Arabidopsis thaliana: one gene and its partner. The protein of the gene in region 1 purifies or fractionates together with the protein of each later gene. This does not show direct contact. Each region holds a gene or a part of one and is shown on either strand. Other genes may lie near its edges.

Region 1 (4,047 bases):
TTTAAAACGAAAAATCAGGATGATTAATTCATTTTATTGAAATCGATTTTTTTTACAGGATATTAAAACCGAAAATTAATAAATACTTATGAGAGATTTTAGGAATGATTTCGTTTGAAGTAATGGTGGAGTTAATATATGAGAGATTTTAGGTAATATTTTTGTTAGGTAAATATTTGATTTAACTGTTAGCATAAATTCAGTGGCATTGAGTCGTAAATAAGTTCAAAGTCCAGAATTTATTTGTTAAAATGGCTGCAAAAATGTATATGTAGATGCATTATTTTGTACGTTGTGTATCCCAAGGTCTATTTAACAGTTATTTGCTTTGAGTTTAATGCATTATTCTTCTCTAATCCCTGCATTTTTTTTTTTTTTTTTTTTGGAAAATGGTAAATTAGATTCAAAAAAGATAACGTCGTTACAATTAGTGTATCATATGTTCTATATGAAATAGATTGAAATCAGAAATTAGAATGAACAATTTAGTGATTAACTTCAACTTTGAAGCCAGCGTTGGAAACGCATTTGCTTGTCGATCCATTGTATTAGAGTGGCTGCAGATTTTGGAGATTCATCATGACGTCTTCGATTCCTCTCATGCCAGATGGTGTAAACGGTGGTTTGAAAGATGTATTTCATCAAGAAACATGCTACACTATCCTTGCGTTGGGCCGAGACTATGGTGAGTAGTTGAGTCCAGTCACTTGTATAGTGTTGCTGAAACAATCCTCGAGCAAGCGCTTCACATAGTTTTTAACATTACTATTTCTCAACTTCTTTAAACAACATGCATAATTCTTCTCTAATCTTGCTTTTTGATTTTTAGCATCACTCATTTATGCATCAATCGATCTGACTCTGTGAGACGACAAAAGCTGGGAAGTGTGAGAGAAAAGGTTTATCAATTGAGTTGTACTTACTCAATACTCAAACTATTATAGATGTTTTCTTCTTTTGGTTTCACGAAGGATTTTCTTTCTTTGTATATGTACATGCAGGCTTGTCGAAACCCATGTCCAAAAACAACTTGGGACAAAAAATTTGTTGTTCATGCATTTTTGTTGGAGTCCCTGACTCTTGTAGTGTTGGAGAATAGGACAAATGAAGAAGTTCTACATGCGACTATATCGTAAGTTCATAATCCATACAAGAGCAGAAAGCTTTGCAAAACACATAGGCCAGATTTTATCAATCACCACCGACTTGACGTTTCCACGAGTCTTCGACGATCAGTTCATCAACTCCCCATTCCTCGTAACTGATTCAGAGTCATAAGTAAGTCGCAAGAAAAGAAGATATCAAATTTGAAAGAAGAGCTAAAAGTATTGATATAACTAATGCAATCTCACCTCATATCAGGTAGATAACGTCTAATGGTAAATGGAATCTTCCTTTGCCTAAGCTCTTTCATCGCAATCTTAAGCCAAATCATACAATAAACAACACAAATGTTCATATACATATCAACATTTACTGACAAATCATGAAAAACACAACAAGAAGGAAGAAGGCAACACCTCAAGTGGATCAGTCTCACCCTCCAACTCAACCATAACAGGAGCATTCATGCTGTATCAGCCAACAACAGTACATAGAATCAAACTTTCCGAGCCAACTAAACGGTTAATCAACAAAGATTGTTCTCAGTAGCTGACCTAATCTGCAAAGCACGAGTGCCGAGGATACGTGCACGTTCATACTTAGTCATAAACTTAGAGGTTTTACGTGGGCGTTGCACAGGTTCTGTTTCAACCTTATCTTCTGTTTCCAAAGGGTCAACATTAACATCATCGTTCTCCTTGATATCAGCATCTTCCTCTACTCCTTCCTACTCACACCAACACATTCTAATCAGCCTAGTAATAATAATAAGCAATGTCAATCTCTCTTCTACAAATAATAACTTACTTCGATCTCAGGCTCTGCTGGCTCATCTTCATATCTGCAATTGAAAATCACCACATAACATCAACAATTTGAAATCCGATGTATAAGATTCAAACGAAATTAGGGTTTTCTATCTAAACAATATGAAATTATAATCAATGCTACGATGCCAGAACAATAAGCAAATTTTCAAAAAAGAATCTCGTTGATAGACTCTCAAACTAGACAATAATTGATCCAATTGTTCTCAATCGTTTACGATTCGTCGGGAAGAAGAAGATAGAATCAACTGAAATCGAGTACAAATGATACTAACATAGGAAACAGAGAGGGAGAGATTACCCCAAGTCATCGACTTCATTGTAATCGTCGTCAGCCATTAAAGTCGATTTGAGAAATCGCTCTCCTTGCTCTCTCGATAAAACCCTAACGATCGATGCAACTTAACCGAATGACGGAGAATGCGTAAAGAAGACTCTCTATGAAGTTCGGTTTTTAATTGCCGGTTTTCTTAATGAACCGTCTATTCAGACCGGTTTTAATTTCAAACCCCATTTAAGCCCACATGTATTTTTTTTTTTTCCCCTAACATAGCCCTGGGCATGTGGTATTCGGGTCAGGGTCGGGTCGGATTTTTCGGGTTCGAATTTTTGGGTTTAGAAATTTTGGATCCGTATGGTTATATCAACAATTTCGGGTCGGGTTCGGTTCGGCTTCACTTCGGGTCCGATAATTCAGGTATTAGTTAAAAAAACCATAAGTAACCAAAACTATTTCGGGTTTGAGTACTACTTACCCAAACTTTGTCCAAATATACCCAAACATACATAAAAATATCCATAAAACCCGAAAGATCTGAAATTATAACAAGTTTTTCCTTAAGCCAATAATATAAAACAAGAAGTAAACCTTGTTTTAAGCTTGTTCCATAACTCAAATCATTAAACAAGTCACATTATTAGTGTATATATATCCTCATATGTATATATAGGGCTGGGCAAAAAACGGGACCCGATATCGAACCTGATACCCGAACCGAAAAATCGGGTTGGGGTGGGTTAGGGTTTTAAGAAATTACTTCATTGGGTAAAGTTTTAGTAAACCCGTGGGTATCAGGTCGGTCCGGGGTTTATCCGTTACCCAAACAGGATACCCGAACATAGATTTAATATCAAAAATATTAATTATATTTAATCTTAATATAATGTAATAATCTAAAATTATAATTATAAATCTAAATATATCAATTACTTTTAGATCTAAATACCCAACTATTTAAAAATTATTTGTTATGTTTGTCAAAATTTAGTATAATATATCTAAATCTAATTAAATTATTAAAATTTGTTAATATTTAAGGTTTTTTTTTTGTTGGGTACCCGCTATCTACACATAAAATACCCGTTTTCATTTGTTTGGCTATTCTTAGGGCCTGAAATTCTTTACCCAAGCCGACCCGAACCCGAATGTACCCGAACTAGACCGAAATCGAAAATTTTCATTTTACCCTATTGGGTAGTAAATCCATTACCCATTTAACCCGAACCCGAACGGGTTTTACCCGAATCCGAACGGGTTACCCATATGCGCAGCCCTATGTATATATATGTTCGGGTAATAAAAAGTACCCACGGGTATCGGGTTCAGTTCGGGTAATTTCCGGTACCCACGGTTATTTGAAAACAGAACCCGATCAAGTAATTAGCCGGAACCGAAGTAGAACGGGTTTGGTTATTTCGAGTCAAGTTCAGTTCGGTTCTTCGGGTTCCGGTATTATGTCCGGGCCTACCCCCACAAACGAAGTCAAGATAAACAATTTTTCTAGTGAGCAATTTGCACAAAAGAAAGGAGCCTAAGGAGGTATTGAACACTAGTGATTACACAATCAAGAAGCAAAACTTCTTTGATTCCTTGTTATCTTAGATCTTTTAAAACTCTTTCTTCTAAAATCTTTTTAGTATCTAAACACAAAGTACAGTGAGAGTTTACAAATCTTCCATAGTTTCACTTACTCAAAATCTAATCCTGTGAACTCAATTCATGTAATACACAATTCTGTAAAAGTTTCTCTGTTTCAATTAAAAAGAAAAAAAATCCAAACGATAATCATTGTGATAAATCACAAGATGATATCATCTTGAACACTAACATTAAGAG
Region 2 (4,088 bases), on another chromosome or scaffold:
TTTCATCATTAATTGTTGATACAGCCTCAAAAACCATCGCATCATACCTTGCAACAAGGTAAAGAAGAACCTGTTAGAACTTAGAACATACCAATTCTAAAAAATCTCTAAATATAACAAACCTAGCATCATTGCTCATATCAGATGAACTACTAGGAGAAGCCTCATAGCTAACAACAGAACGAGAAGTCTCTGAAGGTGAAGTGAAAATGGAGGTAGATTCGAGTGATTGTGTCCTTGATTTCTTTATATTACGCCATTTATCCTTGAAATTTGGGCAATAAGAATAAACAATACAACATTAATACCCAAATTTCGACCTAATTCCACATAATAAATCTCAAAAATCGATTTCCATGGAAGACGAATGGGATTTTGGGAATTTTCGATTACCTTGAGGTTAATGTTTGTGCGATCTAGAAGTTGAGCCGCGAACTCTGGATCGTCTAAAATACTTGTCCATTTTCCGGAACCGTGCTTGGCTAGTCCGGCGAGAAGGGCTTCCTTCTTCCACCGTCCATTTATTCTTCCGATTTTCTAGTTGTTTTTTCTTTCTCTTCAAGTCGAAATATATACCATTTAGAAGGCCTCATCAAAAGCTTTTATTGGGCCTAAACATGGCCCACTATACAGATTTAAAATTAAATCTTGATCTGTTCAGAATTTTTAAGACTAATCTCGACCGTCCAAGATATATTCTCCCAGTCTCAAAGAAGCAAGAACACAAACATGGACTAGAGAAAACACAAGCATGGATTAGAGAAAACACTCTATTTTTGGCTCAGAATCTATTTTTCGAGCTTTATTGCTTCATATTGTTGTTAGAAGATAAGAGTGTAGTGAAAATTGGTTAGAGAAGAAACAAAACTGTGTCCTTGACCAAAAAAAAAACTGTGTCTTTGTCTGTGTTTTTTGTTATGTTCTTGGTCTCAATTGCTTATCTTCATCAATAGCTTAGAGCTACAAATAGTACATTTCACCGGACCGGAGCAGTCAATTTGTGGAATGGGATTTAAAACGGAACGGAAAAACTTGCTTTTGCACAAGAGTTGCTTCATGAAAATTGCAAGAGTTGAAGTAGTAAAAGTTAAACATTAGATCAAGCTCTCTATTAATTCAGTTTTTATCCGAAAAAATGGCACCTCACAGCTTCCTCATGAGTAGGAAGAGCCTCTGGTCGAGTTCGAAGTGAGAAATGTGAGCTGGATCTCCCTTAAGCAACATCAGGAGGCCGCCAAACGAAACATATAGCTCTCTGGAAACACATAATTTAAAGAAAATAAAATAAAACATGATGGTTTGATATGTGAGTTGAATTGGATTGAATTATTTTGATATGGGGGGGTTATATGGGATTCTTACGCTTTTGGAGTTTTGCCGTCACGCTCAGAGATCTTGTAAAGCTTCCCGTGCATTATGTATTCATACTTATCGGCAAGTGTTTTCTTTGCTCCCTGTAATGTATCGAGATGAAAACTAGATAAGATTAATGTTTAGATATGCATACACATTCTTGGTTTTCAAATTTAGATCTTGAAGATTCAAGAACTAAAGCTTGTTAAAATTCCATGTCTCCTCTTATTCCTAGATAGACAGGCTTCTCGAATCAGCCAACAGAGTTATAATATCAACCATTTAGCAGCATTAACAGTTATATCCTAACAAAATCCAGATACGGGTTCAAAGTTACCATTCATGGAAATTTGGCCAAGCAAACAAGAGACTGTGTATATACTCAAAACAAAACAACTAAATAAAAAGCAGTAGAGTTTATTACCGGAGTAAAATAACCGGTATCAGGGGTTCCATCGAGATTCAGCGTAGGAGCCAACGCAAGTGTGAACTTATCACCAACAGCCAATGGATAAACCTCTGTATTAACATCTAAATGCATAAACATTTCCAAGTTGTGGCTCGTAGCTTGAACGCGAGTAACTGTAACCACAAACACAACAAAAATCATTGTAGGTTTAAGAGAAAGCCACTCAATCTGAAGACAGAACAAAACTTGGGGGAGACTAAAAACTTAAAAAGTTAAATTTTTCCACAAAACCCACACACTCAGACCAAAAAAGGATAAACGGAAGAACTCATTCACAATACATACATGAACTAAACAGCTATGAACAAACGTCGATGTAAGCCATGAGAAGTACTAGAAATCGTGAGTGAGGCTAATAAAGTGTATACCTTTATCGAACTTTTTGCCATCAGGGTCTAACTGATCGACCACGAAGATATCCTCGAACAAGATGATATTGCTCGCCATCTGCAAACACGGAAATTCAAACCCTAAACACTCTTTATTTCCTTGATAAAACCCCAATTAAACCAGTAAACAAGACCTATATGGACATCTAATGAGTACAAGAATCCGAACTCTGAAATCAACTTATAAACAACCAATCGCATAGGAAAGTAAATAGTTCCGAACCAGGAGCTTGAGTTGAGGGAGAGATGGAGAAGCTTGAGATCAAAAAGTTCAGACTTTAATCTCCCAAGCGATGGGCGATAGAAGAGCCAAAAAACAATTAAAGGGACAGACTGAGAACAAAAACTCATAAAAGTCCTATGTAAGCTTATAATGGGCTTACAATGAGGCCCATTATAAAATTGTAATTCTCATAACTAATTTTTTTCTTTCTTGATCAGTATTTGAAATTAATCTCGACCGTTAAAAATACTTGCTAAAGACACCATGACACACTTTCTTTTTTTCTTTCTTATGTTATGTATTAGAAAAACCTATTCAATTCTTAAGATTGGCATTATCTGTAAAAACTTGTATTAACAAAAACTAACAGAATAGTCTGTTGCCTTCACAACCAAAATCATTTAACCACAAAGTAACAAACTATGACTAGTTAGTCAAATGAAATCACATTTCATATCTACACTCTTTTTTTTACTCAAAACCAAAAACACTAAAAAGAAACCGGTGATCGAATATATCCACCTTGAACCGGACCAGAAGGTCAAAGCTTTTACAGCAGGAAAATCTTTTCACCGTTAGCACCTGCAAGGACCAAATCAAATGAAAAAGTCAGTGATGATGATGATGATAAAAGGTTAAGAGGTGGACATTACTTACATCGATTAAGGATTTCTACGGCTAACTGCAAGGTTATGTTGCTTTCTAATTTTAGCAACTGGGCGTGTTTATCTGCAAGTTCGTATGCCTCTTTTGCTTCCAACTCCAAGTGTTCTGCCTCTGCGACTTCTTTTGCTAATGCGATTATCCGAGGATCTACTTCTGTTGTTGGTGGTGCGAAAGAAGCACAAGTACTTGGTGTGTCTTGTGCCTTTGTGCCCGTGGAATCTTCTGGATCCATGGTTTCTCTTTGATTTGAATCTCCTACTGACACAACTGGAGTATCAAATACACCACGGGGGATCTTGTAGAGGTTTCCTACCTGCATTTACAAGTTTTTTTTTCCGTTTTTCTGAACTGATCAAACAAAACTACTGAATCTTAACATTAGTGTGAGGCAACTCTGAAAAACTAGTTACCTTGTATACTTGGCCTTCAGAAACTAGATATCTCAGCTGGTTTTCCAACCGCTCCCTAAAATCTTCCTGTAACTCGTTCCTTTCCTGCAATTTATATTAACCACAAGAACATGATGGTTAGTTGATCAAGAACAACGGAGGAATCAACAAAACCAAGACTTTAAAAGGAAGACTTTTAGGGGATGGAACATGAAGTCAAATTTTCAGATCCTAATGTTCCATTGTGTAATCCCGCTATTGACTCACATTTCAGAACCAATATACACTACTCATGAGATATGACCATGAAACACAGATACTTATAGAGACAGAGAGATCCTCCTAACCTTGATAAAAGTGAAAATCGCATCGACATCAAGACCATTATGATTCTCGTAGACTGTTTCTAAAGCCTGAAAGATCAATTCATCAGTCGTAAACCTGAAACAAAACCAACAAAAAAAGAGTAATATCAAAACATAGATAGACCAGAGAAAACAAAGATTGGTGGTTAAAGAATCGAGAAGGTCACAAACCCAGAGGGACCCCGGTCTTCTTCTGAATCTATCATCATGAGCCTTTCAAGCTGTTCACTGAAA

Evidence for each region.
Region 2: the proteins of NRPB6B (region 1) and NRPB8A fractionate together in Arabidopsis thaliana (co-fractionation; one large-scale study listed by BioGRID). This does not show direct contact.

The regions. Positions count from the first base shown.
Region 1 is NC_003071.7:1,617,977-1,622,023, forward strand, and holds NRPB6B (RNA polymerase Rpb6), read right to left. Parts: upstream 2,404-4,047; 5' UTR 2,271-2,403; coding exon 2,233-2,270; intron 1,946-2,232; coding exon 1,912-1,945; intron 1,832-1,911; coding exon 1,659-1,831; intron 1,573-1,658; coding exon 1,521-1,572; intron 1,421-1,520; coding exon 1,353-1,420; intron 1,262-1,352; coding exon 1,192-1,261; 3' UTR 815-1,191; downstream 1-814. Other genes in the region: AT2G04650 (ADP-glucose pyrophosphorylase family protein), read right to left, coding at 4,010-4,047. UniProt on the Arabidopsis thaliana protein: DNA-dependent RNA polymerase catalyzes the transcription of DNA into RNA using the four ribonucleoside triphosphates as substrates. Component of RNA polymerase II which synthesizes mRNA precursors and many functional non-coding RNAs.
Region 2 is NC_003070.9:20,253,391-20,257,478, reverse strand, and holds NRPB8A (RNA polymerase Rpb8), read right to left. Parts: upstream 2,542-4,088; 5' UTR 2,435-2,541; intron 2,270-2,434; coding exon 2,191-2,269; intron 1,936-2,190; coding exon 1,778-1,935; intron 1,455-1,777; coding exon 1,363-1,454; intron 1,256-1,362; coding exon 1,144-1,255; 3' UTR 791-1,143; downstream 1-790. Other genes in the region: AT1G54260 (winged-helix DNA-binding transcription factor family protein), read right to left, coding at 1-47, 123-139; AT1G54240 (winged-helix DNA-binding transcription factor family protein), read right to left, coding at 2,985-3,016, 3,092-3,413, 3,511-3,594, 3,837-3,930, 4,026-4,082.